7 linked regions of the Macaca mulatta genome follow. The protein of the gene in region 1 interacts with the protein of each later gene in a pairwise test. Links are inferred from orthologs where the notes say so. Each region holds a gene or a part of one and is shown in the gene's direction. Other genes may lie near its edges.

What was found.
Region 2: the proteins of RABAC1 (region 1) and SNX15 interact in binary tests that used the Homo sapiens proteins (3 or more experiments, as listed by UniProt). The two-hybrid records come from large-scale screens. The link is inferred for Macaca mulatta from reciprocal best matches to the Homo sapiens genes RABAC1 and SNX15.
Region 3: the proteins of RABAC1 (region 1) and RAB33A interact in binary tests that used the Homo sapiens proteins (3 or more experiments, as listed by UniProt). The two-hybrid records come from large-scale screens. The link is inferred for Macaca mulatta from reciprocal best matches to the Homo sapiens genes RABAC1 and RAB33A.
Region 4: the proteins of RABAC1 (region 1) and MIEF2 interact in binary tests that used the Homo sapiens proteins (3 or more experiments, as listed by UniProt). The two-hybrid records come from large-scale screens. The link is inferred for Macaca mulatta from reciprocal best matches to the Homo sapiens genes RABAC1 and MIEF2.
Region 5: the proteins of RABAC1 (region 1) and ZFYVE21 interact in binary tests that used the Homo sapiens proteins (3 or more experiments, as listed by UniProt). The two-hybrid records come from large-scale screens. The link is inferred for Macaca mulatta from reciprocal best matches to the Homo sapiens genes RABAC1 and ZFYVE21.
Region 6: the proteins of RABAC1 (region 1) and RAB1A interact in a two-hybrid assay, tested with the Homo sapiens proteins (2 studies listed by BioGRID and IntAct). The link is inferred for Macaca mulatta from reciprocal best matches to the Homo sapiens genes RABAC1 and RAB1A.
Region 7: the proteins of RABAC1 (region 1) and SNX10 interact in binary tests that used the Homo sapiens proteins (3 or more experiments, as listed by UniProt). The two-hybrid records come from large-scale screens. The link is inferred for Macaca mulatta from reciprocal best matches to the Homo sapiens genes RABAC1 and SNX10.

What each region holds. Positions count from the first base shown.
Region 1 is NC_133424.1:52,997,763-53,002,333, reverse strand, and holds RABAC1 (prenylated Rab acceptor protein 1), read left to right. Parts: upstream 1-1,472; 5' UTR 1,473-1,538; coding exon 1,539-1,594; intron 1,595-1,875; coding exon 1,876-2,088; intron 2,089-2,484; coding exon 2,485-2,582; intron 2,583-3,714; coding exon 3,715-3,816; intron 3,817-3,899; coding exon 3,900-3,988; 3' UTR 3,989-4,137; downstream 4,138-4,571. UniProt on the Homo sapiens protein: General Rab protein regulator required for vesicle formation from the Golgi complex. May control vesicle docking and fusion by mediating the action of Rab GTPases to the SNARE complexes.
Region 2 is NC_133419.1:9,347,633-9,351,662, reverse strand, and holds part of SNX15 (sorting nexin-15), read left to right. Parts: intron 1-1,092; coding exon 1,093-1,208; intron 1,209-1,304; coding exon 1,305-1,452; intron 1,453-1,762; coding exon 1,763-1,906; intron 1,907-4,030. UniProt on the Homo sapiens protein: May be involved in several stages of intracellular trafficking. Overexpression of SNX15 disrupts the normal trafficking of proteins from the plasma membrane to recycling endosomes or the TGN.
Region 3 is NC_133426.1:136,626,233-136,630,837, forward strand, and holds the start of RAB33A (ras-related protein Rab-33A), read left to right. Parts: upstream 1-1,407; 5' UTR 1,408-1,660; coding exon 1,661-1,918; intron 1,919-4,605.
Region 4 is NC_133421.1:19,848,272-19,851,494, forward strand, and holds the end of MIEF2 (mitochondrial dynamics protein MID49), read left to right. Parts: coding exon 1-8; intron 9-477; coding exon 478-1,532; 3' UTR 1,533-2,556; downstream 2,557-3,223. UniProt on the Homo sapiens protein: Mitochondrial outer membrane protein involved in the regulation of mitochondrial organization.
Region 5 is NC_133412.1:177,149,044-177,153,073, forward strand, and holds part of ZFYVE21 (zinc finger FYVE domain-containing protein 21), read left to right. Parts: coding exon 1-115; intron 116-1,090; coding exon 1,091-1,166; intron 1,167-1,273; coding exon 1,274-1,365; intron 1,366-1,974; coding exon 1,975-2,028; intron 2,029-4,030. UniProt on the Homo sapiens protein: Plays a role in cell adhesion, and thereby in cell motility which requires repeated formation and disassembly of focal adhesions.
Region 6 is NC_133418.1:59,625,762-59,629,791, forward strand, and holds part of RAB1A (ras-related protein Rab-1A), read left to right. Parts: intron 1-1,372; coding exon 1,373-1,468; intron 1,469-3,693; coding exon 3,694-3,825; intron 3,826-4,030. UniProt on the Homo sapiens protein: The small GTPases Rab are key regulators of intracellular membrane trafficking, from the formation of transport vesicles to their fusion with membranes.
Region 7 is NC_133408.1:102,074,448-102,079,180, reverse strand, and holds the start of SNX10 (sorting nexin-10), read left to right. Parts: upstream 1-1,572; 5' UTR 1,573-1,649; intron 1,650-1,735; exon of another isoform or gene 1,736-2,723; intron 2,724-4,733. UniProt on the Homo sapiens protein: Probable phosphoinositide-binding protein involved in protein sorting and membrane trafficking in endosomes. Plays a role in cilium biogenesis through regulation of the transport and the localization of proteins to the cilium.

The sequences.
Region 1 (4,571 bases):
GAAAATACAAAAATTAGCCAGGCATGGTGGCACGCACCTGTAATCCCAGCTACTTAGGAGGCCGAGGCAGGAGAATCGCTTGAACCCAGGAGGCGGAGGTTGCAATGAGCAGACATTGTGCCACTGCACTCCAGCTGGAACAACAGAGCGAAACTCCGTCTCAAAAATGAAAAAGAAAACCCGATTCCACTAAAAGCCTGGGGGTGACAAAGAGGAAATAAATAGTAACTAGCCAATCTGATCTTCAAAGTGTAACTCTTCCATCTTCAGTGTGGGGCCCTTGCAAAGGGCTTCCCTGCCTATTGCGCCACCAGCCCCTTGGACAGGGCCATCTTCCCCCCACCTCCTGGGAACGCCTTCCAGCAGGCTTCCAAGCACAAACCCTGAAGTGCCGTAGATCTTGGAAGACAAGACCTGGGCCTAAAAGAGTCACTTGGGGCCAGGCACAGTGGCTCATGCCTGTAATCCCAGCACATTGGGAGGCTGAGGTGGACGAATCCCAAGGTCAGGAGTTCGAGACCAACCTAGCCAACATGGTGAAACCCCGTCTTTACTAAAAATACAAAAAATTAGCTGGGCATAGTGGTGCACGCCTGTAATCCCAGCTAGTTGGGAGGCTGAGGCAGGAAAATCGCTTGAACTCAGGAGGCAGAGGTTGCAGTGAGCTGAGATTGTGCCATTGTACTCCAGCCTGGGCAACAAGAGTGAGACTCCATCCCAGAAAAACCCACAAAACTTCCCAACCTTTTCTCTTTCCCAATTTCACTCCCTCCTGTCCAAAGGTGTGTGTGTTTGCAGGTGGGGGGGGGGGTGGTGGCGGTGCGGAGGTGTCCCTAGTCCCAACTCATTCATCTTTGGGACTCCACAAAGTGGGGCAGGGGGCAACCTCAGATACCCCTCCAGCAACCATGACCCACTCACTAGCCTCAATCTCTTGAGGAAGGAATCAATTCCCACAAACTCTCTAAATCTTTCTACTCAAAATGTGGTCCATGGACCAGCGGCATCAGCATCACCTGGGAACTCAGAAATGCGAATTATGGGCTCCACCCCAGACTTGCTGAATGAGAACATCTGGGGTGGGGCCCAGGAGTCTGTTTTAGCAAGCCCTCTAGTTGTTTTTTTATGCCCTCTAGAGTCAGAACGACAGCTCTGCACGGTCCCCATTGTGCCCTGCCTGGGAGAGTACACAACACCCTCTTCTGCCATTAGAGCTCCCATAACGCCCTCTTTCCTGACAGCGCACCTGCACCCTCCTGAAACTACAGGTCCCACAATGCCCAGAGGTGCGCGCCGTCACTTTCTGGGATTATATCTCCCAAGGTGTCTTGCGAGTCAGACCGCCATCATGGCGCCCACCCTCCCAGCCACCGTCAGGACTACAACTCCCACAATGATCGGCGGCAGAACTACAGTCCCCAGCTGCTCCCGAGCGGCGCCACGTCGACTCCGCTGGGTGGGGCCGGCCTCGGGCGGGGCCGGCGGGGTCTGCAGGGTACCGGGCTGGTTACAGCAGCTCTACCCCTCACGACGCAGACATGGCAGCCCAGAAGGACCAGCAGAAAGATGTCGAGGCGGAAGGGCTGAGCGCCACGTGAGCGAGCCGGCTCTAGGCCCTCGGACCCGAGGCCCGGGAGTCCGGGACCCTGGCCCCCTCCTCCCTCGAGTGCCCGGAGTCCCAGCCCCGAGACGCACAAGCGCTGGCCCCGGTCTCCTCTAATGGGACCCTGGCGTCTGGGCCCCTACCCCCCTCCCCGCCTGTGATTCAGTAATCTGGGGTCCCGGGAGGGAGTCCAAGCCCCCTTAAACCCCTTCTTTTGCGGGGGTCTGAGGCTCCATCCCGGTCCACCACTGACCCGGCCCCACCCCTCGCAGGACCCTGCTGCCGAAGCTGATTCCCTCCGGTGCAGGCCGGGAGTGGCTGGAGCGGCGCCGCGCGACTATCCGGCCGTGGGGCACCTTCGTGGACCAGCAGCGTTTCTCACGGCCCCGCAACCTGGGCGAGCTGTGCCAGCGCCTCGTACGCAACGTGGAGTACTACCAGAGCAACTATGTGTTCGTGTTCCTGGGCCTCATCCTGTACTGCGTGTGAGTGCATCCCGGGCCCTGCACCCGCACTAGCCCCGACCGGGTGGACCCCTCCTCTCACAGCTCAGGCCCCGCCCTTCAGCGCCCGGGCCCTCCTCTCACCACCCAGGGCCCCCTCCTACCGCCCAGGCCCCTCCCCTCACCGCCCAGGCCCCTCCTCTCACCGCCTAGGCCGGCCCCGCCCCCAAGGATTGGCTCTGCTAGACCTACTTTGTCACCAAAGGGCCAGGTCCCTACCCCACCATCACCCTGGCCAGGATGCAGTGTGACTGAATGTCACCTGGCCCTCCCTGGTCTCCAGAATGTAGCTTGCCTCCCGCCGGTGGAGAAGGCCAGGGCTCCCTGGCTGACCAGCCCCAGCTGCCTAACCGCTGCCTCCCTGCACTCCTCCTCCAGGGTGACGTCCCCTATGTTGCTGGTGGCTCTGGCTGTCTTTTTCGGCGCCTGTTACATTCTCTATCTGCGCACCTTGCAGTCCAAGCTTGTGCTTTTTGGTGAGAAACCCCCTGCCCAGATGAATCCTTGGTCCCTCGAATCTTGGTCTTTTGGAATGCAAACCTCAGACCCCAAATCCAAGTCCTTCAAAACCCAAGTCCGCCGAAGCCTAGATGAACACTAGATCTCCCAAACCTGATCCTTTAAAAATCTCAGACACAACCGATGCTCCCATCGAGTCTCAGCCCCCTCAAATTGCTATTCCTCAAACCTAGGCTCCACCTGGCTGCTGTGCCTTAAACCTACTCCTCTTCAAACCACATGACTCCTCCCCTCTCTCCTCCCCTTGCCGCTTTCTGCGGCAAGCATCAGCTGCAGGTGCCCACACTGGACACCAGGTGGCGAACTTACACTGGCCTAGATCTGTTCCCGTTTCTTTTCCTGCTTTCTGGGATGTGACCAGAAAGAACTTGGAACTTGGGGAAGCTGAGGAGTGTGTTTCATGTGGTTCCCAGACTAGTACCAAGGACCACTGGGAGAACAAAATGCCAGGGGAAATTCCCCCCAGGGGAAAATCAAGGTTTGGAGTGGGGTCAAGGAGTTGGGATTGGGCTGTCAGGTAGACCTGAAGGCCAGGCTCTTCAGGGGCCTGCAAGTTATGTGCATGACGGGCTTAGGGGGAGGGAGCGCCTGCAGCACAGGCACCAGAGCATGCAGACCCCATCCCTGAGACTTCTATGAGAAGCCTGAAGTTGGTATTTTTATGTGAAATCATTCACTTTGCCAGCCACAAATCACATCCTTGTAAAACATCTCAAAACAAACACACATCCACAGGTCAGATTTGGCCCTTGGGCCACCAGTTTGAGACCCCTGGTCTGCGTGAGGGTTGCAGCAGGAGAGCCCTAGTCTAGGGAGCAGGAAGCTGGGATCCCAGGAACTTCCTGGAGGATGTGGGGCAGAGGGCAGAGCGTGGGGCTGAGGCAGGCGAGGACGGTGTGCTGTGTTCTGGAGGGCAGTGAGGACACCAGGGGAGCAGGGTGACCCCAGGACCTGGAGGGCCTTGGCATGAGGAGTTTGGATTTGATCCCGAGGACCTGAAGCTTATACAGATTGTTGGGGGGCAGCAGGGGTTACTCTGGGAGAGGGCATGAAGGGTCGGAACAGCGCCCCAATGCCATCTGCTTTCAGGCCGAGAGGTGAGCCCAGCGCATCAGTACGCTCTGGCTGGAGGCATCTCCTTCCCCTTCTTCTGGCTGGCTGGTGCGGGCTCGGCCGTCTTCTGGGTGCTGGGTGAGTACAGGGTCTGAGCAGCTGGGGTGGATGGTGGGGGCCAGGTACAGGAGCATGGCCCTGAGCTGCCGGCTTTCCTGCAGGAGCCACCCTGGTGGTCATCGGCTCCCATGCTGCCTTCCACCAGATTGAGGCTGTGGACGGGGAGGAGCTGCAGATGGAACCCGTGTGAGGTGTCTTCTGGGACCTGCCAGCCTCCCGGGCCAGCTGCCCCGCCCCTGCCTACTCCTGTCCTGCACAGCTCTGCTGCTCGGGCCCATAGCGCCGTCCCATCACAAGCCCGGGGAGGGATCCCGCCTTTGAAAATAAAGCTGTTACGGGTGTCATTCAGGAAATACTCCCCTAGCATCTTCTGTGGGTCTCTATGGGTGCAGCTGGGAATACTGTGCAGATCAGGGTTGGGGTGGAACCTGGGGTGTGGGCAAGATGATAAGGTAAACAGGTAAAATATTAATGGGATGCCCAATGGTGGTGAGTGCTGAGGAGGAGAAAAGAGTTGAGAAGGACAGTGTGCCGGGGGTCCCCGAGACCACCCCCGGGTTTGATGGTTCTCTAGGACTCGGGAATCAGAGAGCACCCCAGGTTTGATGGTTCTCTAGGACTCGGGAATCAGAGAGCACCCCAGGTTTGATGGTTCTCTAGGACTCGGGAATCAGAGCACCCCAGGTTTGATGGTTCTCTAGGACTCGGGAATCAGAGAGCACCCCAGGTTTGATGGTTCTCTAGGACTCGGGAATCAGAGCACCCCAGGTTTG
Region 2 (4,030 bases), on another chromosome or scaffold:
TGATATCAGCTCACTGCAAACTCTGCCCTCCCAGGTTTGAGTGATTCTCCTGCCTCAGCCTCCCAAGTAGCCAAGTAGCCTCCCAAGTAGTGTGCGCCACCACACCTAATTTTTTTACTTTTAGTAGAGACGGGGTTTCACCATGTTGGCCAGGCTGGTCTTGAACTCCTAACCTCAAGTGATCCACCTGCCTTGGCCTCCCAAAATGCTGGGATTATAGGTGTGAGCCACCACGCCTGGCCAAGATGTTCTTTTGTTCTTTTGAGGCAAGGTGAAAGATTGCTGTTGTCAGGTTATGCCAGGCCAGTGGGGAAGTACCACAGAATGGCCACACAGTAACTGGACCAGAGTTAGCCTGCACTGCATAATACCTAGGACAGAGCAGTGAAACTGTGACTCGCACCTGTGATCTCAGCACTTTGGGAAGCCAAGGCAAGGTAATCACTTGAGCTCAGGAGTTCAAGACCAGCCTGGGCAACATGGTAAAACCCCATCTCTACAAAAAATACAAAAATTAGCCAGGCATGGTGGTGTGCACCTATAGTCCCAGCTACTTGGGAGGCTGAGGCAGGAGGGCGGCTTGATCCCAGGTGGCAGAGGTTGCAGTGAGCTGAGATTGTGCCACTGCACACCAGCCTAGATAACAGAGCCAGGCCTTGTCTCAAAAAACAAATGGGGGCTACTTGCTGTGTGACCTTGGGCAAGTCACTTTCCCTCTCTGAGCCTTACTTTTCTCCTCATTAGATCAAAGCCATCAGAAATGTTTTTGTTTCTTGTTAACTACCTAGCTCCCCCTGTGTAGGATGTGATACTCACAAGGGCAGAGACTTGTTCCTCCCCTGTTCACCTTCTGAGTCTAGCATATAGTAGGTGCTCAGTAAACATCTGGCAAATGAATGAATAGGGAAATTGATCTGTCCTGGAAGCCCCTCCCTCACCCCAGGAGGAGCCAGAGAAGATTCCTGGGAGAAGGGGTAGGAGGGCAGTGAGTTGCTCAGAGCATCTCAGGCAGGACCAGGAAAAGTGGCCTTAGGGCAGAAGCCCCTATAGGTCACCGCCACTCTCCCCTGTTCCTTGTCCTGGGGGCTGTAGGCCGATTTGAAGCCTCAGTGATCGAGGAGCGGCGAAAGGGGGCAGAGGACCTGCTTCGCTTCACCGTGCACATACCTGCGCTCAACAACAGCCCCCAGCTCAAGGAGTTCTTCAGGGTATGTGCACCTTCCACCTTACCAGAACTTGGGCCACTTACCCACCCACCAGATTGCACCCCATGACTCCCCATGGCTGATCTTTCTGTCCTGCAGGGTGGGGAGGTGACCCGACCCTCGGAGATGTCCAGGGACCTGCACATCCTGCCACCCCCTCTGATCCCCACCCCGCCCCCTGATGACCCCCGGCTACCCCAGCCGCTCCCTGCAGAAAGGAGGGGCCTTGAGGAATTGGAGGTGCCAGGTACATCAGGGTGGGAGGAGGGAACCAAGGCTGGAGGGTACAGAGTGGGGAGGGGGCCACACTCACTCCTCAGTGGTCTTAGTGAGAAATGGGCGTGTGTCCAGGTCTATCACTGACTGGCTGAGGAACTTTGGGCAGGTCCTTTTCCTTCTCTGCACTACAGTTTCTTAATCTGTAAAATGGGCATAAACCCTAATAACGGGCTTGTCTATGCCCATGGTTGCTGCAAGGGTTTAGAGAGAGAGTAATTCCATTTTGAAAGCTGAGAAATAAATGCGGGTATTCATGACCCCAATTATCTCTTCCTCAGTGGACCCCCCACCATCCAGCCCTGCCCAGGAGGCCCTGGATCTTCTCTTTAACTGTGAGAGCACCGAGGAAGCGTCTGGTTCCCCTGCCCGAGTCCCCCTCACCGAGGCTGAGCTGGCCCTCTTCGACCCCTTCTCCAAAGAAGGTAATGAGCTGGGTCAGCCGGGAAGGAGCCAGGGCAGGACATCCTTAGGACAGGGAGGAGGGCAGAGCCCCACTAGCCTGCTCAGTGCCTGCGCAGATCTGGGAAAGACGTCCCCTCAGTAGTGCTGCCCTGTGGACCAAGAGCAGCTTCAGTGAGAATGAGCAGCTCCGTGCCAGGGCTCGTGGTGTGGTGTGCTGGATGCACCTGTGCAACAAGTAGCCATGAGGAAGGAAAGGAGGCACTTCCCACGTTGGGGCCATCTCACTGAGAAGGCTTTGGAAAGAGCCGGGTCACACTGCTCTGGGACATTTTAGTTCCTTCGCTGTAAGCTCGTGGTGGGATTTCCTGGCTGGCCAGGGTCTGGCTGCAGATCCTGAAGGCAAGAAGCCTGCTGGTCAATGGAAGTGAGTTCTGAGCTCAAAGAGCAGCTGCAAAGGGAAACCCCTCTGGGGGCCTGGAGCCACTGGCATTTGGGGATGCCGGAGATTGAAGGGCCCCCTGATGGAGGTTAGGGTCCTGGGCACCTTCTTGCTGTGAGATCCTGGGACTTGACAGTCCCAAGCTCTGAGGCACTGGAGTTTTTCATTCTAAAATTCGCCAAGGCCTGGCACATTGGCTCACACCTGTAATCTCAACACTTTGGGAGGCTGAGGCAGGGAGATCCCAGGAATTCAAGACCAGCCTGGACAATATAGCGAGAGCCCATGTCTGTTATTCTTTTTTTTTTTTTTCTGAGACAGAGTCTCACTCTGTTGTCCATTCTGGAGTGCAGTGGCGCAATCTCTGCTCACTGCAACCTCCCGGGTTCAAGCGATTCTCTGGCCTCAGCTTCCCGAGTAGCTGGGACTACAGGCACACGCCATGGTGCCTGGCTAATTTTGTATTTTTAGTTGAGATGAGATTTCTTCATGTTGGTCAGACTGGTCTCAAAACTCCTGACCCTCAAGTGATCCACCCTCCTCGGCCTCCCAGAGTGCTGAGATTACAGGTATGAGCCAAAGTGCCCTGCCTCTCACTTTTCTCGTTCTGCTTCCTCCTGTTCCTGCTACTGCCTCTCCAGGGTTGGGGAGTGGGAAGAAGGAATGGGAGGGAAAGGCAGTGTTGGTGTCACAGGGCTGTTGTGTCTGGCCTCTGGGTGGCAGGCATCCAAGTGCTCTGTCCTTGTGTCAGCTGAGCGCCTGCCTGGGCAGGAGCTTTTCTATTTTCTCTTTTTTTTTTTTCCTTTCTTTTTTTTCTTTTTCTTTTTCTTTTTTTTTTTTTTTGAGATAGGGTCTGGCTCTGTCACCACGCTAGAGGGCAGTGGTGTGATCGTGGCTCACTGCAGCCTCTACCTCCTAGGCCCAAGCGATCCCCCCACCTCCGCCTCCCGAATAGCTGGGACAGAACCACAGGCATGCACCATCACGCCCAGCTAAGTTTTTGATTTTTTCTAGAGACAAGCTCTCACTATGTTGCCCAGGCTGGTCTCAAGCTCCTGCACTCAAGTAGTCCTCCCACCTCGGCCTCCTGAAGCGCTGGATTATAGGCATGAGCAACTGTCCAACCAGGATCTTTTCAAGACCCTTCACACGCAGCTCCAGTGAGACTCACTCAGCCCATGGGGAGAGTCCCCAGAGCCTGGAGCTGCAAGGCTTCAGAAAACCCCTGAGATTCTCGAAGTCTCCTATTCTAAGATTATTCCAAGGCTTGGAGCATTTCTACCCTCAGCCTGGTGTTGTTGGCCTAGCATTCTTCAGGGAAACTTTCTGGAGGGGATTTTTGGATTTCTAGGTCAACTGGAGTCAAGAGGGAAATAGGACCAGTGACCCAGAGCTCACAAACTAAAGTGAGTGTGTACCTAATGACATAATTAGGAAGGTAAGGCTGTGTTTTTTTGTTATTGTTGTTGTTTTTTTTTTTTTTTTGAGACGGAGTCTCGCTCTGTCGCCCAGGCTGGAGTGCAGTGACGCGATCTCGGCTCACTGCAAGCTCCGCCTCCCGGGTTCACGCCATTCTCCTGCCTCAGCCTCCCCGAGTAGCTGGGATCACAGGTGCCCGCCACCATGCCCGGCTAATTTTTGTATTTTTAGTAGAGACAGGGTTTCACCATGTTAGTCAGGATGGTCTCGATTCCTGACCTCGTGA
Region 3 (4,605 bases), on another chromosome or scaffold:
GCATTAGCAATAACTCACAAGTCAGTGCTAGTGACATGTGTCAGTGTTACCTTAGCTTATGAAATATGTAGGGGGAGAGATGAAGTCTTAAAAATAAATGGGTGCACTTTATCATATGTAAATTGTACCCAATAAAGTCGATTTCAAACAAATTCTGAATCTGCGGATGACTTTAGGGAGAGGGAATACTGGTCTTGACCAAGATGTGTGTGATGATTAGTAAGCTTTGGGAAGCAGCCCCCTAATATTGTAAGGAGATTGTGTTCATTTATCATCTTCCAAGCATAATCTAGGCTTCTGGCAAATTAGACTCAACCACTTTGTTCTACATTCAGCTGCAGGGGGAGTGAACCCTCCTAGGGATTCCCAACTCCCTCTGAAACTCCACCCTTCTGGAAGGACTTACGGTTATATGGAGGGCTTGGGAGTGGAAGGCACTGTGGAGCTTATGCCATGTCCCAAGATCCTCCACCTGGGCCAGTAATGGCTAGCCCCATAAACAAAGTCCCCTTTTGCTGGAACTGCCACCACTAGCTTCCCCCCTTCTCCTAGCCTCTGTGTGGCCCTCTCCCGCGGCGAGCCTTCCCCATTGGCCAGCCAAACACAACCGACTGCGGCAGCCAATAGGAGCCGCTCTCCTGAACATTCAGAGGATGGGTGCTCGTGGTGTGATGAGGGGATGTTGGCGCCTGGTACGCGCCCCCCTACATCTGGCAAGTCTGTGACAGAAACAGTAACACCCCCTACACACGCACACGCGCGCCCGCTGGCTCCCTCCTCTCAACTGTGCAGGCCCGGGACAACCCACTGCGTGTCTTGGCAGCGCCCGCTCAGGCTGCCTGGGGCCCGTGAGTGCACCTGCTCACTCAATAAGACAGAACATCCCTTTATCCCAAGGCGCGGGTCGGGTAGAGGGTGGGGGTAGAGGGGACGGGGTAGCGGGGACCGGGAAGGCGCGGCTCAGCTGCCGGCTGCTCCCGAAGTGAAAGAGGTGCCTTAGCCCCCACCCCATCCCTGCAGAGTTGCGTTGCTCCAGGGAGGCCGAAGTGATCCAGTGATGCCTTAGGGTGCAGCTCTTTGTCCTCCCCAGCTGTGCTCCCTGCCCGCTGATCCCGTGCGCTCCGAGCCAGTGGGGGTGGGGAGCCCGAAACTTATAACATAAATGGGGGCAAGGAGAAAGAAGTCTATCCCGGGGTGGCGTGTGCTGCTGTCCCCACCCCCTCCCTTTCCTCCTGAGGCTTCTTCCCTCCGGTCGGTCTCGGGGGTGCAGGCAGGGGAGAGTGTGGGCCGAGGCGCGGCGGCGGCTGGAGCAGCGCCGTAGGGTCCTTCGCCAGAGCATCCGGTCCGAGGGCGCACACAGGCAGAAGGCTCGCTGCTCGTCCACTCTCCTCCCTCTCTCCTCCTCTCCCTGGCTTTTGTGTTGGTGCCTCCGAGCTGCAAGGAGGGTGCGCTGGAGGAGGAGGAGGGGGGCCCGGAATGAGAGGCACCCTCTTCACGCGCGCGCGCACACGGTGCCGGCGCACGCACACACGGGCGGACACACACACACGCGCGCACACACACGCGCACAGAGCTCGCTCGCCTCGAGCGCACGAACGTGGACGTTCTCTTTGTGTGGAGCCCTCGAGGGGGGTTGGGGCCCCGGTTCGGTCCGGGGGAGATGGCGCAGCCCATCCTGGGCCATGGGAGCCTGGAGCCCGCCTCGGCCGCTGGCCTGGCGTCCCTGGAGCTTGACTCGTCGCTGGACCAGTACGTGCAGATTCGCATCTTCAAAATCATCGTGATTGGGGACTCCAACGTGGGCAAGACCTGCCTAACCTTCCGCTTCTGCGGGGGTACCTTCCCAGACAAGACTGAAGCCACCATCGGCGTGGACTTCAGGGAGAAGACCGTGGAAATCGAGGGCGAGAAGATCAAGGTGATCCCGGGGGTCAGGTCCAGGAAGGGAGGGACCTGGGAGGGGACCTCGCCCGAGGCATAGCTGTAGCGGTTGTCATCGTCCAGCGTCCCAGCGCGTGGCGGTTTCGCCTCTTGCTGAGCCGAGGACCCTCGGCCCCTCCTCACCCCTTTTCACCTCTCTCAGCGGGGTCCCGTCCCCATATCACTCAGTTTTTTGGGGCGGTCGAGAATGGTTGCATTCTTACCCTTTGCTCCTGCCTGACAGGTCCTGCCAGGAAAAGCATGTTGGATCCCATCCTTGACCCCTAGCCCGAGCAGCGGCACCTGTGGGCAGAGGGAGGCAGGAGGCATCTCTGGGTCCTAGTCTGTGGGATGGATCCCAAAGCACTTTACACATCCTGATGTCTCTTCTACCGCTTGGGTGCCGATAGGCTGCAAAACCCCACTTCAGCTAAGCCTCAAGTCATTAGAGGGAAGGAAAGGATGGAAATCCATGGAGAATGAAAAAGCTGCTTTATTTTAAATTGCAGTTTATAGTTAAGATTAGGGCTGAGTTGAGATGGGGGTGGAGTGAGGTGGTTCTGGCAGAAAGCCATGAGCCCTTTTAAAGAAATTGAGGCAGGGTCACCAGCCAGCCCTTTGTAATCAACAAAACTTGTTTTTTATTGTAACAGGCCCCCTGGAATGGTATTTTCTTTACTTGTCTGGGGTATCTAATACATGAACTGCTCCTTATTCATTCTGTTGGTATTGTCTTCAGAAGGTCTTTGTAAAAATGCAGTGACTTAACCGAGGGCCAGGGAAATGCTCAATCCTCCCCCTCCATGAGTTTATGTAATAGGCTAAGTGCAAATATTCTTGTCTGACCATTTGTGCTCACCTTTAATTCAGAAAAGGTAGAAACCTGATATGACACGAATATGTCAATGTGCAGGGCATGGAGGGAGGGAGGACATAACAAGGGCAACTTCCTGTGTCAGGGGAGCAGAGGGGGGCCTCTATAAAGGCAATGGAATCACTGAAGACAACTCCTCTAGGCTCACAGCTGGCCTTTCCTTGAGCGTATGGTTGGATCCTAGACAGAGTCAGGGGTAACAGTAAGCCTCCTTCTTGCTGGTCAAACGGCCAAAGTGACCACAAGGCCCCTCCTCTGAGTGACGTGGAGAGAAGGGCTGAGTAACTGATGAAACACTTGAAACTGTGCAAGACTCTGACTCCTTGATTATTAAAATGAACATGTTCTAAAAATGGCTTCAGAAACTGGGCCAACGCACTAGATGTCAGGAAGATGGACAGCTCAGTACTGATAAGGGAGAGCCCCAGGGTCAGGAAGATAGAACATTATTTTGAAATTGTGATCTTTTTTGCCCCTTGCATTTTGAAGGGGAATTGCTACATTTCCTTTTAAAGTCAAAGGCAGCATCTTGTCTTTGTCCTTTCCTGGGGCTGTTGACATTTGCTTGGTTAAGACTTCCTCTAGTGTGTCTGGCTTCTTTAATGTAAGGCTATACGATTCTAGAATTTCTAAAACATGCCTTTGTAATCCAAAGTAGAAATATCTTTACGGATGGGCTCTTAAACCCTCAAAAACCTAATGCTCTCATTTGCTTAAAATCAAGTGTTACAGTAAGCCAAAGAGTTCCCTGGATTTAAAAGGTGGGAAATAAGCCCATCTGAAATTTAAATGGAAAAAAATGAAGTGTTTGGGAATCTAAAGAAGGAGGGAGGAGGAAGCTAGAAAGTGAGGGATGGGAGATGAACACGAGTGGAAGAGTCACCACCCAGTGGTCTCGGAGGAATTTTTAAACCATTCCTTCTCTTCTGACACCCCAGTACTTAGCCAAACTGGACTTTACAGTCTCTGGCAAAGATTCCAGACTTTTTCCCAGAGGGCAGAGCCTGTGACAGTGTGACTCACTAGAAACAGAACTCAGCACAACACCACGTGCAGATAAGTGCTTAATACAGGCTTTTTTTGGGAAGATGATATTTTCAAGAGGACAAAGCCTTGTGACACTGCTCATGGAGGAGTCCTCTGAGGGCAGATTCTGAAGGAGCTCAGAGCAGCGTGTGAGAGTGGGGAGATGGTGACCCTGCTTCTTGTAAAGCTGCTGCAGTCTCAGGACCAGAGCTGGCAGGCGAGAGACCAGCATGTCTGTGGGAAGATGGCAGGGCCTGGCAGCTAGCACGTGATCTAGATAGGAGAAGATTTGGCCTCACACTCTGGCTAGCCTGAAGTTGTTCAAGGAATACATGCCAAAGCCATGCTTGGAGATGACTGCCAAGGGCTTTGCCCTTTGGGAGAGAGAGAAAAGTCCGGTGTGACAGTCCGAGGTCTGGCCTAGACCATGGCCAGCAATAGAAGGCTTTTGGGCTGTAACATACCAGCCCTTGCAGGAGAGTGGTAGAGAGGTCTCAGCCAGTTCTTCTCAGTCTAAGAGCAACGGTGTGGCCTCTTTTGGGCTGACTGCCTGTGTCCCGGGGTAGCACATACATGAACCCCTGCTAGGGACAACTGATTTGGTGTAGTTAGAGTCACGCTGTAATTAATTTTCAAGGCCATCCCTAGGGTATTGAAGCCCCATTTGCTGTCTCCAATCATTATGTTCCCCACCCTCACCCCATCAAAGCATTTACAACTGAGTCCTGGTGAACTCAATTGTATGAACACCAAGAAAAGCCTCCAATGAGTAGGCAATAATAATA
Region 4 (3,223 bases), on another chromosome or scaffold:
TGCCCCAGGTGAGTGGCACTCCTTCCCCTCTGTTGGTGTCACATTCGAGAGACGCAGCCCAGGCTTTGCCCTGACTGACTGTGCGGCCCTGTGCGAGTCCCTGCTTCTCTCTGGGTTGCGGGCTCCTCAGACATTTAATGGGGGTGGGGTTTCTTTGTCCTGCTCCTGGAGCAAAGTGGCAGCGTTGTGATAGTGGGGAGCTTTAGATGGGGAAACTGAGGCCCACAGGGGCGTGACTTACCTACCTACTCTGCATGAAGCTGTTTTAGCCATAGGGCCAGGGTGTTGGACTCTGGGACAATGAGAACTCGTCACCAAGCGCTCACTATATGTGAGGACCTGAACTGAGTGCCTTCTCAGGTGCTATTGCAGGTGAGGAAAGTGAGGCCCTGGGACGTCACACAGCTAGCTGTCGGTGGTGTTTTCTTAACTAATCACAGGCTGTTCCGACATGTTCCCCGCCCCTTCACTCTGCAGAGGGGCCTGCAGAAACTGGTCCTGAGGTGACACCACAGCTCAGCTCCCCAGCACCGCTGTGTCTGACACTGCAGGAGAGGCTGCTGGCCTTCGAGCGGGACCATGTGACCATCCCAGCAGCCCAGGTGGCTTTGGCCAAACAGCTGGCTGGCGACATTGCCCTGGAGCTGCAGGCCTACTTTCGGAGCAAGTTCCCGGAACTGCCCTTTGGGGCATTTGTGCCTGGGGGGCCACTGTATGATGGGCTGCAGGCAGGGGCCGCGGACCATGTGCGTCTCCTGGTGCCACTGGTGCTGGAGCCGGGCCTATGGAGCCTGGTGCCGGGCGTGGACACTGTGGCGAGGGACCCTCGCTGCTGGGCCGTGCGCAGGACTCAGCTTGAGTTCTGCCCCCGCGGGAGCAGCCCCTGGGACCGCTTCCTGGTCGGGGGCTACCTCTCTTCCCGCATCCTGCTGGAGCTACTCCGAAAGGCGCTGGCTGCCTCTGTCAACTGGCCGGCCATTGGCAGCCTTCTTGGGTGCCTGATCTGGCCCAGCATGGCCTCAGAGGAGCTGCTGCTCGAGGTGCAGCACGAGCGCCTGGAGCTCACCGTGGCTGTGCTTGTGGCAGTCCCTGGGGCCGATGCTGACGACCACCTCCTCTTGGCCTGGCCCCTGGAGGGGCTGGCGGGGAACCTCTGGCTGCAGGACCTATATCCAGTGGAGGCTGCAAGGCTGCGAGCCCTGGACGACCATGACGCTGGGACCCGCCGTCGGCTGCTGCTGCTGCTGTGTGCTGTCTGCCGTGGCTGCTCGGCCCTGGGGCAGCTGGGCCGGGGTCACCTGACCCAGGTGGTCCTACGTCTGGGGGAGGACAATGTGGACTGGACGGAGGAGGCCTTGGGTGAGCGCTTCCTGCAAGCCCTGGAACTGCTCATCGGCAGCCTGGAGCAGGCCAGCCTGCCCTGCCACTTCAACCCCAGCGTGAACCTCTTCAGCAGCTTGCGTGAGGAGGAGATTGACGACATTGGCTATGCGCTGTACAGTGGCCTACAGGAGCCTGAGGGGCTGCTGTAGGTGGGTGGGAACGGGTGGCTGGCGTGTTTTCTAATGCTGGGAAGCTGCGCCCACCTCCCTTCCGGGGATTTGAATAGTGGTTTTTCTCTAGCTTTTAGCCAGAACAAAAGAGGGTACATTACTTAAACCCAGGGCATCGGGATGTGCTTGGGCTATGGTGGCCGTAAACCCTGAGCCCAGAGAGCTTGGGTCACTGTCACCTGAGTACGGCTGGGCTGGCTCAGGCAGCTTGGAGTGCCAGCCATTTCTGCAAGCACCTTTTCAGCCCTTGGGGCCAACCCCAGGACCTTGGCTCTGTCCATCACCAGCAACCAATCCACCGACAGAATGTGGTTTCTGCCATCCTGGGCAGAAGCTAAAGGCCAACTTCACATTTCTGCTGAGAGAAGGCGACTTACCGCCTTCTCCGGCCCCAGCTCCAGGCGTTTTGAGGCCTCTGGTGCCTGGTGGTAGGTATGGTGTGTTTGTTCTGTCCCCCGGGCGCTGGAGTCACCTGGTGTCCCTGAATGACAGCTTTTTGGCTGTTAAAGGATGGCGTTTTCCTGCTGTCTTCTGTGCGTTTAGTTTTCTTGTTGTGTTCTCGAGCCCTGGAGCAGGAGCTCAGTGTGACTTGCTACCCACCTGATACCTCAGGGCAAGGCCCTTTTTCCCTCCAGCCAGGTGAGTGTTTTCTTCAAGCAGCTGAGGGCCCTGGGGGAGCTGAGGCTCTGTGCTGCGCCCCCAGCCCACAGCTGGGGCATATCACTGGAGCTCTTCCAGGCCCCACTGGAGAGCAGAGGGCCTGATCCCCCACCAGAGGGGTCCGGTGTGCAGAGCCGGCCTCCCAGTGTGCCAAAATGAACTGCTCTCAGCCGATGGCTGTATTCTGACTTTGAAGCCCGTTAGAGGTAGCAGGGGGGCTAGAGGAGGGAGATTCCACCTCCCTTCCCAAGTGATCCTCCTCCTGCCTCTGGTATCCTTCCTGCTGAAATGAAGCTCTGCTTCGAAGAGGTGAACAAGAATAAAAGAAAATTCTAACGTGTAACTCAGGCTGGATAAGGGGGTCTTGGCGCTTTCACACGTAGCTGTTGGGGGTTTTCTGTAAGTCCTGTGGCTTGTCCTGGCACTTAGGCAAGGGTGCTTGAGGTCAATTGGAGGTGGTAGAGTTTACTTTAAAAAGTAACATCTTGGCCGGGCGCGCTGGCTCAAACCCATAATCCCAGCACATTGGGAGGCCGAGGCGGGTGGATCCTGGGGTCAAGAGATCAAGACCATCCTGGCCAACATGGTGAAACCCCATCTCTACTAAAAAGATAAAAATTAGCTGGGTGTGGTGGTGGGTGCCTGTAGTCCCAGCTACTTGGGAGGCCAAGGCAGGAGAATCGCTTAAATCCGGGAGGTGGAGGTTGCAATGAGCCGAGATCACACCACTGCACTCCAGACTGGCGACAGAGCAAGACTCTGTCTCAATAAATAAATAAATTAATTAATTAATTAAAAAGCATTTTGGCCAGGTGCCGTGGCTCACGCCTGTAATCCCAGCACTTTCGGAGGCTGAGGTAAGTGGATCACCTGAGGTTGGGAATTCAAGACCAGCCTGACTAACGTGGAGAAACTCCGTTTCTACTAAAAATTCAAAAAATATTAGCTGGGCGTGGTGGTGCATGCATGTAATCCCAGCTACTTGGGAGGCTGAGGCAGAAGAATTGCTT
Region 5 (4,030 bases), on another chromosome or scaffold:
GTGCCGCTGCGGCGCATGTGCTTTGTGGACCCCGTGCGGCAGTGCGCGGAGTGCGCCCTGGTGTCCCACAAGGAGGCGGAGTTCTACGACAAGCAGCTCAAAGTGCTCCTGAGCGGTAAGGACGCGGGTCCTGCAGTCCTGCGCGCGCCGCCAGCCGGCTCCTCGTGTCTGTGGCGATGCTGTGGGCTGTGCACAGGGCGTTCTGCTTCTCTTTGACGTTCTCTCGCCTTCCCTCCCTTCCCTGTTTTCTTCTGGATTCGTTTAGAAGCAGTTATAGAGCCTTCCCTTCTCTTCAGAGTTGGAATGTCGTCTAAAATGTGGGTGCTGACTCCGCTGGGCACGTCCATCAGGTGGGAGGGGAGGCCCTGGGCCCAGGCAGCACCTCCCCCAGGTGGAACCCGGCGCCGGCGCTGGGGCCTTTGCGACCACCGTGGCTCCTCGATGAGGGTCCGTAGACCTTTGCCCGGTAGCACGATGCAGACCCGGTTTTGAGCCATCTCTGGGGACCTGGTGTGGGAGAAGGGCGTTCTCCGGGGGCTTATGTTGTGCCTCCCCGGAATCTCTGAGCAGCGCCTTCTCCCCACTGCCCGCCCACCTCTGGCCACTCCGTCCCAGCCTCCTGTCCCCAGCTTGCCCGCCATGGGGTCTGGGACCACCTGCCTTCCCGCCCACAGCTCCGCCCTGTGTGAAACGGGCATGGTGCCTGGCTGGACAGTGGGCTTTGTTGTGCTTCCTTTCTGCTGTCTTGGTCCTGCCAGCTCTTAGGACCTGCGAGCAGAGGGGTTTATTGTTCTTTGATCTGGACCTTGGTGATGGATTCCCTGCATCCTTTGAAGGATGTAAAAAAATTTCTAGGAGCTTTGTAAGCAAGCAGAACCTGTTTAGAGCAGACCTTTTCGTTTACCTCTTAAACCCTTGATCCATGACTGCCTTTTTGCTCAGCTGAAGAGGTCCTTAGAACAAAGCTGTGGTTTGTTTCTTGATGTTTTCACTCTGTCCTCTGTGTGTGCGTCTCCTGCTGGTACTCGTGGGAAGGGTTAGGTGGAAAAGAAGCAGACCCTGTTCTCACATTTGCTTTTGTGTTCCCAAGGAGCCACCTTCCTCGTCACGTTTGGAAACTCAGAGAAACCCGAAACTATGATTTGTCGTCTTTCCAATAACCAGAGGTAAGAGCCAGATCCTGCTTGGCACGGGGCAGCATTGTCACAGACCGGGAGCCTCGGTGGCACTGAGCCTGAGAGTGACCCGATTTGGACACTTTTATTTGATGTAGATACTTGTTTCTGGATGGAGACAGCCACTATGAAATCGAAATTGTGCACATTTCCACCGTGCAGCTCCTCACAGAAGGCTTCCCTCCTGGAGGTAAATGCCAGCACGTCCTTTCCTAAGCCAGGAGGGTTTGGTGCCATGCATGGGTGACAAGAGGAGCGTCCACTTTTGGGATCAGGCAGCCACCCTGAGGAACGGGGTCTGCTGGGTCTCCAGGACAGCCTGCCTTTCCTCTTTGGGGGGCGTGTATTTACTCAGTGGCTTTAGAACTCGCCAGGTGAGTGGAGACTTAAACCGTAAGACAACAAAGGGAAATTTGCCTCAGCATGTCGTAATGATTTCCTCTGCTCTAAATGCTGTAATGTATCATTCCGTTTATTGTTGGACTCAAACCAAGGATAAAGCCCCAAATGCAATAACTGAGATCCCCAGAAAGGTCTGAGTGGTGGCTCATCGGGAGCCAGCACTTCAGCCCTCCTCCTGCAGGCGTCTGTGCAGACCAAACCCCTGGTGCGTTTCCTGGTGAGCTTTGGCCCAGCCTGGGCCTCTCCACTAAACTCCGCTGACGGGGAGCTCGCATCCTGTTATCTGCAAACTGTGCTGACAGATGCGCGTGCCGTAACCCATGTTGCTTTCTTTCCGTTCTCTCACCGGCTCTTGGGTGCTCCTTCTCGCCACTGCCTGCCCACCTTCTTGCCATAGAAAAAGACATTCACGCTTACACCAGCCTCCTGGGGAGCCAGCCTGCCTCTGAAGGTCAGCCTCTTCCTCCTCGCCGGGGCTCCCTGCATGCGGCGGACCCGTTCCTCCCCTCGCCACCTGGCTTCTGTCCACGGGGTGGTCCGTGCCAGGGTTCTTTGTGAAACCTGGATTCACTTCTTTTGGTTGACTTAAGAGAGATGTTGGGTCTGGTACGTGGGTTTCTAAAGCATAAATGAAGATACCGCAGCAGATGTACTTTCTCAGTTCTGTCTCGGGGGGAGGGTTACCCAGCAGTTGACAGCTCTCTGTCAGTACCTGCCAGCCCTGAACTGGCTGAGGCCAGGGGGCATGGGTGCTCACAGGGGCTCACCTGCCCTCGGGAGCCTCTCCCAACTTTGCCCTTCCCACTGAGGCCTGGCACTCCCCAGCTCAATGTGGCCTCCTGGGACCCTTAACTCTCCTGGCACTTCTGTCAGCCTCCTGAATGATGAGGTGAGATGCCCAGGCCAGTGTTTTGCCACCTCTGTCCTGAGTTCAGGGACGTGTTTGGAGCCGGGATGGTGTCAAGCTGGTTGCCTTGAGCAGGCTGCGTGGTATAGACGCCCAGGTGCGAAGGGTAGGGTCTGGAGAAGCGGGGGTCACCCCAAGCACCCCTCTCTGCCTGCCTCCTCCTGGGGAGCCTGAGGCTCAGATGAAGGCCAGTGCTTAGGGGCATCCAGTGCTCCTGAGGCCGGGGCAATGGAGCCTCCGGGACTGCTCTCCTGGGCTGACCCTCCCCAGGGCTTCTGGCACTGTGTCCCCTTGTGATGGCTTGGGGGGTGCAGTGAGCCCCACTCTGCACAGTCTCAGTAGAGCCCTTCAGACCCCAGCACCGTCTTCCAGTGGGGGCGGGGACAGTAGTAACAGTCCCCTGACCTGAAGGCAGCCAGGGGGCCGCCTGCCAGCCTGGGCCCTGTAGGGCAGGCCACACACTCATTCTTTCACGGCCAGATAGTAAACCTTTGCCAGCCCCATGTGCCGTGGTAAGGTGGAGGCAGCTGCAGAAGACAGGGTGACAGACGGCCATGGCTCTGGTCCAGTGGTGCTTTATCAAGCAAACGCAGGCGGTGGACAGAGCCAGGTCACTCTGCTCTAGAGCCCAGGCAGGACGTTACACTGATAGGGAAGGTTCCCCAGTGTAGGGGCTGGGTGGGTGTGCCCTAACCATAGAACCGGGCTTATGAAATGTGGTTCCAGAGGCCCGGCATGGTGGGGGCCTGTAACCCCAGCACTTTGGGAGGCTGAGGCGGGTGGATCACCTGAGGTCAGGAGTTCGAGACCATCCTGGCCAACATGGTGAAACCCTGTCTCTACTAAAAATATAAAAATTAGCCAGGCATGGTGGCAGGCGCCTGTAGTCTCAGCTACTTGGGAGGCTGAGGCAGGAGAATCGCTTGAACCCAGGAGGCGGAGATTGCAGTGAGCCGAGATCCCACCACTGCACTCCAGCCTGGGTGACAGAGACTCCAAAAAAAAAAAAAAAGAAAAAAAAGCCAGGCACGGTGGTTCACACCTATAAGCCTAGCACTTTGGGAGGCCGAGTTGGGCACCTGAGATCGGGAGTTCGAGACCAGCCTGACCAACATGGAGAAACCCTGTCTGTCCTAAAACTACAAAAGAGAAAAAAAAAAAAAAGCTGGGCATGGTGGCACATGCCTGTAGTCCCAGCTACTCAGGAGGCTGAGGCAGGAGAATCCCTTGAACCCGGGAGGCGGAGGGGGCGGTGAGCCAAGATCGGGCCACTGCACTCCAGCCTGGGCAACAAGAACAAAAACTGTGTCGCGGGGGCGGGGGTGGGGGGAGGGGAAGAAAGGAAAAGTGTGGTTCCGGGGCCTCCGGCGCTTGCAGCTGCAGCCTTGACGCCCACTCCACCAACCGGCAGAAGAGCCGGCCCTGGGTGCTGATGGGGGGATGTGTGTCTGATGGAGGGGTCTCCCGAGAGGTCAGCGATTGCTCACGATGGGGCTTCCCTCCCAAGTCATTAAATTCATGGGAGGCTGCATCCCATGGGTCTCTT
Region 6 (4,030 bases), on another chromosome or scaffold:
GAGAGTACAGGCGCGCACCATGCATGGCTAATTTTTGTAATTTTAGTGGAGATGGGGTTTTAGCATGTTGGTCAGGCTGGTCTCGAACTCCTGACCTCGTGATCTGACTGCCTTAGCCTCCCAAAGTGTTGGGATTACAGGCGTGAGCCACCGTGCCCAGTCCCAACAGTTTTTTTTTTTTTTTTTTTTTTTTTGAGACAGAGTCTCGCTCTGTTGCCCAGGCTGGAATGCAGTGGCCGGATCTCAGTTCACTGCAAGCTCCACCTCCCAGGTTTGCACCGTTCTCCTGCCTCAGCCCCTTGAGTAGCTGGGACCCGCCACCTCGCCTGGCTAGTTTTTTGTGTTTTTTAGTAGAGACGGGGTTTCTCCGTGTTAGCCGGGATGGTCTCAATCTCCTGACCTCGTGATTCACCTGTCTCGGCCTCTTGAAGTGCTGGGATTACAGGCTTGAGCCACCGCGCTCGGCCCCAACAGTTTTTTTAAACCCAGAACTATAATGCAATAATGTTAGCATTTGTTTTTGGAATTTGAGCCTAACTAGTTGAAAGGCAGTTAAGTTGCTCTTAAAATACATTTTATAAAAGTGTTTGGAATCATCTTCCTTACATTGTTTTCTCTAGGATGAAGACAACACCTGGCCAGGCATGGTGGCTCATGCCAGTAATGCCAGCACTTTGGGAGAATTGCTTGAGTCCAGGAATTTGAGACCAGCCTGGGCAATATAGCAAAACTCCGTCTCTACAAAAAAGAAAAAATTAGCTGAGTGTGGTGGCATGTACCTATAGTCCCAGCTCCTCAGGAGGCTCAGGTGGGAGGATTGCTTGAGCTGGGGAGGTTGAAGCTGCAGTGAGCCATGATCATGCCACTGCACTCAGCCTGGATGACAGATCTGAGACCCTGCTTGAAGGGGGGAAGAAAAAGACACCTGCTTGGGATAATTAAAGTTCTGTCTTGACTGGTAGTTATTTGAATCAGGTCCCTCCAATGCTAATTTAATCATGGTAGAATGTGCAAGCAAGTGAGTTTGTCTTACATGGAAGAGTTCTGTGTTCAAGGGCTTTAGGCCAGTGACATTCCTCAACATGGTGCTAAAGGCGGTAGGGAATGTGAAAAGTATGACATACTTCCTGCTCTCAACAGCTTGTAATTTTAGTATTATCGTAAGCTCAGTTGTAGGTACTACCTTCTTTTCTGGACTTCCAGGTACTTATTACTGTGCAATATAGTGGTATGAGTTGAGGACTAATGTTTCTATATCACATCCTGATAATCTCCACAGTTATGAAAACTAAACTATTTCCCCTCCCTCCTACACTTTTCCCCAACTTTATTTTAATGGAATTGTTTGGATTTCTTGATTGTTTTGTAATAGTGGGACACAGCAGGCCAGGAAAGATTTCGAACAATCACCTCCAGTTATTACAGAGGAGCCCATGGCATCATAGTTGTGTATGATGTGACAGATCAGGTAAGTTCCAAGAGGAGATTGTGTTACAGTGACCAAGTAGGAAGTCATTATTCGATTAATGTAAGATTCATTTACTACTTCGCATATAAGCCATCAGTATTAACTTTATGGCAGAAAACTTTGTCCACTCAAATATAAATGTGAATCACTTAAAAGACATTTTTTTTCCTGTAATAAATAGAACATTAGTAATAAGTTTTACATTTGCTTTCAAGGGATTCTGGTTGTATTTATTATGAACTAAATAACTGATCAAATAGCCAAGACTCTAACATATAGGCAAGAGTTTGTAGGGAATCGTGAGTTGCTTGACTTATATTGTATTCTTGGTGTTGTTAACAGGAATATGGCCTGGTAATCAGAATTGCTAAAAGAGGGATTTGCGGGTCTCTGCCTGTGGAGGATGTGGTTCAGAAAAAAAGGATTTGAATAGGATAAGCTGTAGGAGGATCTTAGTATGAGAATGAGTATCTGAAGATTAGCTGTGAGAGAGGGCAGGGTGATGGAGGGAACAATCTGGGACAGTGAAGCATGTACTCCAGGGGCCATAACTGTTTTTTTGTTATTATTATTTTTAATCAGAAACTTAGATTTCGATGTCCTTTCTATCAAAGGACAGAAGAGAAACATTCAAAATTGGAATTTATTTTTCTTTTGGCAAATGTTAAATCTCACCTCTAATATGAAATCATAGCTAATTAGGAGATAACTTACATGTAAACATTTTGATTCAGTGCCATTAGAAGTGCTGGGTGGGTGATATCTGCAAGAGAAAAAAATGATGCTAGTTTAAAAAAATCTCTAGTCATATTGCCGTGAAATACTTTTAAATGAAAACTTTCCTCCTGTAAATATGACTGTGGATAAGAAAATAAGTATATTTAATAACATTTTGACATGTCTAGTAGTAACAGTAGGTCATCTTATTCATAAACCAAAATTTTATCAAATTTCAAGCCGGGTGCAGTGGCTCACGCCTGTAATCCCCACACTTTGGGAGGCCGAGCCGGGTGGATCACCTGAGGCCAGGAGTTAGAGACCAGGCTGGCTAACATGACAAAACCCCATCTCTACTAAAAGTACAAAAATTAGGCCGGGCGCGGTGGCTCAAGCCTGTAATCCCAGCACTTTGGGAGGCCGAGACGGGCGGATCACGAGGTCAGGAGATCGAGACCATCCTGGCTAACACGGTGAAACCCCGTCTCTACTAAAAAATACAAAGAACTAGCCGGGCGAGGTGGCAGGAGAATGGCGTAAACCCGGGAGGAGGCTGAGGCAGGAGAATGGCGGAAACCCGGGAGGCGGAGCTTGCAGTGAGCTGAGATCCGGCCACTGCACTCCAGCCTGGGTGACAGAGCCAGACTCTGTCTCCAAAAGAAAAAACAAAAAAACAAACCAAAAATTAGCCAGGCGTGACAAAAATTAGCCAGGTGTGGGGGCGCGTGCCTGTAATCCTAGCAGTCACTTGGGAGGCTGAGACAGGAGAATCACTTGAGCCCAGGAGGCAGAGGTTGCAGTGAGCCGAGATCGTGCCATTGCACTCCAGCCTGGATGACAGAACAAGACTTTGTCTCCCCCCCCCCCCCAAAAAAAAAAATTATCAAATTTCAAAACCAGGTTTTGTAGTACATTTAAATTGCATATTCCAAAGCAGTTGGGTTTGCCTGAGTTGCAGTTTAATATTAAGCTGTCCCTTTCAAATAAGGTATTTTCATCATTAAGCCTGTAAATTCTAGTTTGTCATCATTTAGATATTTATAGTCATTTTAATATATCTGTTTACGGCCAGCCACAGTGGCTAACACCTGTAAACTCAGCATTTTTGAGGCCAAGGTGGGCCGATTGTTTGAGCTCAGGAGTTTGAGACCAGCCTGGGCAACATAGTGAAACCCCATCTATACAAGAAGTCCAAAAAAAAAAAATAGCCAGGTGTGGTGGCATGTGCCTGTAGTCCCAGCTATCCCGGAGGCTGAAGCGGGAGGATGGCTTGAGCTTGGGAGGTCGAGGGTGCAGTGAGCTGTGATTGTGCCACTGCGCCCTGGCCTAGGTAACACAGCAAGACCCTGTCTCAAAAAAAAAAAAAAAAAATCCCCTTCACTCCTTAGCAGTGGTTATTTTGTACCTAGAGTTGTCTCACTAGCTCTTTGTTATTTGTCTGTTAGGTCAGGAAGGTTGTTTCCATTTATTCCAGAACCATATTATCAAACTTTCAAATGTCTTTTTAGGAGTCCTTCAATAATGTTAAACAGTGGCTGCAGGAAATAGATCGTTATGCCAGTGAAAATGTCAACAAATTGTTGGTAGGGAACAAATGTGATCTGACCACAAAGAAAGTAGTAGACTACACAACAGCAAAGGTATGTTTAAAGTTTAATTTTCATACTGAATTTGAAGGTGTTGAATTATGTATGGGCTCTGCAGTAATACTAAGGCCACAGCCACCTTAACTTTTAAAAATATGTGCACTAGAATACTGTGACAGTGACAATTCGTGTAACATCTGTTTGGATCCAATGAACTTATTAGTTCCTCATGCTCCATTATGGATGGTAGAAATGCACT
Region 7 (4,733 bases), on another chromosome or scaffold:
ATTTACCATTCTTAATAGGGTCATCATTCTAACAGATATTCAAATGACTGTCAGTAGACTCTCCAAGGGTTCGTTGCTGCTTTGTCTACAGCTGTAAAGTCATGCTCTTGACAATAAGTTCAGAAAGATTTTAATTTTACAGAATCTCTTAGGATCTTAGATACATGCTGCATTTTGTTTTCTACTCAATGTTTTTCTTTGTGGAGCATAGGGACAAGAATATAAAAAATACACTTTAATTTGATTTTCTTTCTTTTTTTTTGAGACAGAATCTCACTCTGTCGCCCAGGCTGAAGTGCAATGGCATGATCTCCGCTCACTGCAGCCTCCGCCTCCCGGATTCAAGCGATTCTCCTGCTTCAGCCTCCCGAGTAGCTGGGATTACAGGTGCGTGCCACCACGCCCAGCTCGGTTTTTCTATTTTTAGTAGAGATGGCGTTTCACCATGTTAGCCAGGATAGTCTCGATCTCCTGACCTTGTTATCCACCCGCCTTGGCCTCCCAGAGTGCTGGGATTACAGGCGTGAGCCACCGCACCGGCCTAATTTGATTTTCAAAAGTGATCATGGTTGCATTCACTTGTGTGTCATCACTTGGGTGCAATTTTAGGAAATTAAATACCAATGACTGAGGGTTCAGCAATACAGCTTCAAGATCCAAGATGTTAAGACACAACATTGCATATTTATACATTTTGTTAGGGAGGTAATGTAGGTGTGGTGAACAGATGCATTTTCAGGTGGGCCTGGAATGGTCCCTGGAGGATGATCAGCGACAAACTGTGTCTAATGGGAAAATTCATGCTTGGAAAATGAAATATTAGGCTACGTGTATTATTCTGTGTCATTCAGTCACTTATTAGCAGTTTAAGTGATGGCTGCGGTTTCCCATGCAAACAGGTGTGGGGACCCAGCCTCAGGTGCCATTTGGGAAATGCTTTCCTCAGTCAGGTCCCTTGGCAGATCTCATTAGCTTTCCCCCCAAATGTTTTATTAAGAGACATTTCTTTTTTTTTTTTTTTTTTTTTTTGAGACGGAGTCTCGCGCTGTCACCCAGGCTGGAGTGCAGTGGCCGGATCTCAGCTCACTGCAAGCTCCGCCATTAAGAGACATTTCAAACAGACAAAAATTGAAGTAATTTTATATAAACACCCATAAGCCCACCACCTAGATGCTACGAACATTCTGCCATTCTTGTTTATCACGTTATTTATCCGTTCCCCTCAACATCGGCAATCCTCCCCATAACTGTGGGGTGGGGATTAGGAAGCTTAAGGTGACTCAGGTGGCGAATTCCGAAGGGTGCTGCTGGATCACCTCCAGCCTCAGCTTCCCGGCTAATGGGGGCATTTCCTCCCTAACTCAATATCAGGAAGCAGGAGGCTAGCTCGACAGGGCGGGGGCGCACCTGGGCTGGGCTGCGCTGGGGCGGCGGAAGCACTAGGCGCGGCGGCCACAGGCGGACTGCTGGCGCCGAGCGCGGGCGCGGGGCCGCTACGTGCGCGGGGAGCGCGGGGCTGCGCTCGTGTGCGCTCCTGGGCGCTCGCCGCCGCTGCCGCCGCTGCCGCCGCCGCGCGCCTTTGAGTCAGCAAACTCCGCTGCCCGCGAGCCCGGCCCGGCCCTGGTCTGCTCTGCCCGGAGGAGCCGCCCGTAAGTGACAAGAGACCCGCTGACGGGCCTCCCCTACGCCGCCCTTGTGGGGACGGCGGCCCTTCTTTCCAGAGGCGCGGGCCCTTCCCGCTGCGCCCAGGTGCCCGCACCCTTGCGGGTTGGAAAGAGGTTTGGGTCCCTTGGGCTTGGAGTGGAGGCGCCGCCTCCTTTTCTGCCGAGGTGTGCCGGGTGCCAGGCAGGGAGAAATGATCAACTGGCTTGGCAGAGCGGGGAGATGGAGCGTGTGGATCCAGGGATTCCTGGCTAAAAAGACACCCCGGGGAGAGGGTGGGGCAGAGGTGGATTCTAGATTACGGAAGAAGTGCTGTGGCACCTTACACTAGGCTGGATAGAAGGGGGTGGGGAGGTTTTTTTTTTTTTTTTTTTTTTTTTTTAATTCATGAACGGGTAGTTTTGAGTTGAGGAATTGGGAGGGGTAGGCAGGTTTATTCGTGGGATTGTGGGATTGAGGGAGAAGGCCCGAGGGAAAACCCATATTATTGACTGATTATCAGATTTGGTGACCAGGAAAGCTACAGCCTGTTTTTCAGTTCCGATGCATCATACTTTTCTCAAATTACACGGATAATTGAGGGGGATCGTCATGAAATGGGGAGCAATATGTCCTGCTGAAAGGAAGGGCTTCTATCTCTGCAAGACACGTTAAAAATGATGGTATCAGAAAATTAGAACGGGGAGGAGGCTGGCACATGATCTCCATCAAACCTTTCATTTTACAGACAGGGAGGCTAAGGCCGAGGGAGTCCGAGTGTTGTGACCGGGATCATTCAGCCAGATGGGAGCAGAACCAGGCCTACAACCTGGCGGGCTTCTGACTTCCACCCCGGAGACGTCCACCTCTGGGGCCTGGGAACTGGTTTTGGATTGCATAAACTGCCCCTCCTCTCCCGGGAGGGGGCTGGGCTGGAGGCTGAGGCCTTCACTGGGAAGAAGCAGGGACTGCTTTGATAGTTGACTAGCTTCTGCAGGGGCTTCTTAGTGAGAGAATGGAGGTGAGGTCAGGGACTCCTGCCTTGCCTCTGCCATCACTTCGCAGTGATGCCTGTTCCTAAGGTAGGTACATAGCTGGACCTTCATTATTCTTAATATTATTTACTTTTTTTGCTTTTCTTTTGAGACAAGGTCTTACTCTGTCACCCAGGCTGGATTGCAGAGGTGCGATCTTGGCTGACTGCAAGCTCCGCCTCCCTGGTTTAAGTGATCCTCACACTTCAGCCTCCCGAGTAGCTGGGACCACGGGTCCACGAGTGCGGGCCACCACAACCCTGGCTAACTTCTGTATTTTTTTGTAGAGACAGGGTTTTGCCATGTTGCCCCAGGCAGGTCTGGAACTCCTGAGCTCAAGCAATCCACCTGCCTAGGATTACAGGGTTTTTTTATTACTGTTTTTTAAAGGAAGGGTAGACTTGAGATTGACTGATAGGGCAGTTTTTAATAAAAATACAAAAATAAAATACAAGTAGAAGAAACTGTGAAAAGATGTGAAATGTCAGTGATTAGCATGGACTCGACCGGTCGTCCTGTTTCTTCTGCCAGTCCATTTCATTTTCACTTTTGATTACCATTTAACTGGGGAGGACATCAGTGTTGACAGTGGGACTTGCTTAGTCTGACACTGTGCCCCACCAGGGAGTCTCCCCTACAGGCTGGTACACACTTCCTCTTATTTTACTAATGGGAAGTACCCCTGAGTTAGGTAACCTAAAATAATAGAAATAAGCACGTTCATTAAAAAAAAATAAATAAAAGTATGTTAATCAAAGAGTAACGTTAGTGTTTTACAGCAATTCTGCTTGGCTTTGGAGCAATGGATATCTTTTCTCAGCCCTGGGATCACTACTTTAAGTCTTCATTTTGCTCGTTAAGCTACTGGGGAAAATGACTTCTTTTTTCCATTTTTGGTGACAGGGCTGTGGTTTCACAACCACTTGGCGAAAGGCAGACAACTGGTTGAGAACAGGGTTCAGTCTATGCAGATTCTCATTTGCATGGCGGAGAAGGGCTTTTGGCCAAGCTCGTGGTTGACTCTGTGGGGAATCCACCAAATTTAGCATTGTTATCTCCAAACATCTTTCTCTTAGTAAACTGGTAGGTATGAATTAGCTCTTCTGTTCTCTAAGTCCTGTTCAAAGAGGAAGGTATACAGTATAGTGGTTAGAACTTGTGATTCCAGACCTATCTGAGTTGAAATCTTGGTATAATATTTTTCTGAGTATAGTTTTGTTGGCAGGGCACTTAACACTCTCTGAGTTGTCTATTATTCAGAATTAAAAAAGGGCGATGGTAATCTTTGCCTCCTAGAACTGTTAATACAACAGCTGACATTTATCGAGCACTTACTATATTCCAGGCATTGTCACATTATTGAGCACTTATGGGCCAGGCATTGTGGAAGAGTTTTTATGTGTCAGTCTCATTAAGCATCACAACAGACTTATGAAGCAGATTCTTTTATTGTCTTCAGTTTACGTCTGGGGAAACTAAGGCATCAAAGTATTTATGATTTCTCTAAACTCCTCAGCTTACAGTTTTAACTACCCAACAAATGTGTGTCAGATTTCTATTATAAGCTAATAGTTATCTAGGGCTTACTGTGTGGCAGGCCCTGTTACAAGTGTGCTAAGTACGTTAACAACCCTTGAGATAGGTATTGTTTTTCTCCCCTTCTTATTTCTTTTTACAGATGTGGAAACTGAGGCACAAAGCCCCAGGTCAAACAACTGGTAATGCTAGAGCCAAAATTTGAACTAGGAGCCTGGGTCTGGAATCAGTAGTAACTCTCAGCCACCCACCTGCGAATGTAAAGGGCTTAGCCAAGCTTCAATCAAGGGCAACTTCTGTTGATACTTACATATATTTTTCCCTAAGTAACTACTCCTTGCCCCCAGTTTCTGCAGAAGAGATGCTTTTAGTTCTATAAGTGATTCAACTTTACTCAAGGCTTTGTGGTTCTGTATGTATTTCTGTTGTAGTCTCTGTTATTTTTAAAAGCTTGTGCTAGGCCTCAGTGATTTTGCCCCTGGGGATAGGGAAATAGTCTTTATCGGATCTGTGAACCCCTTT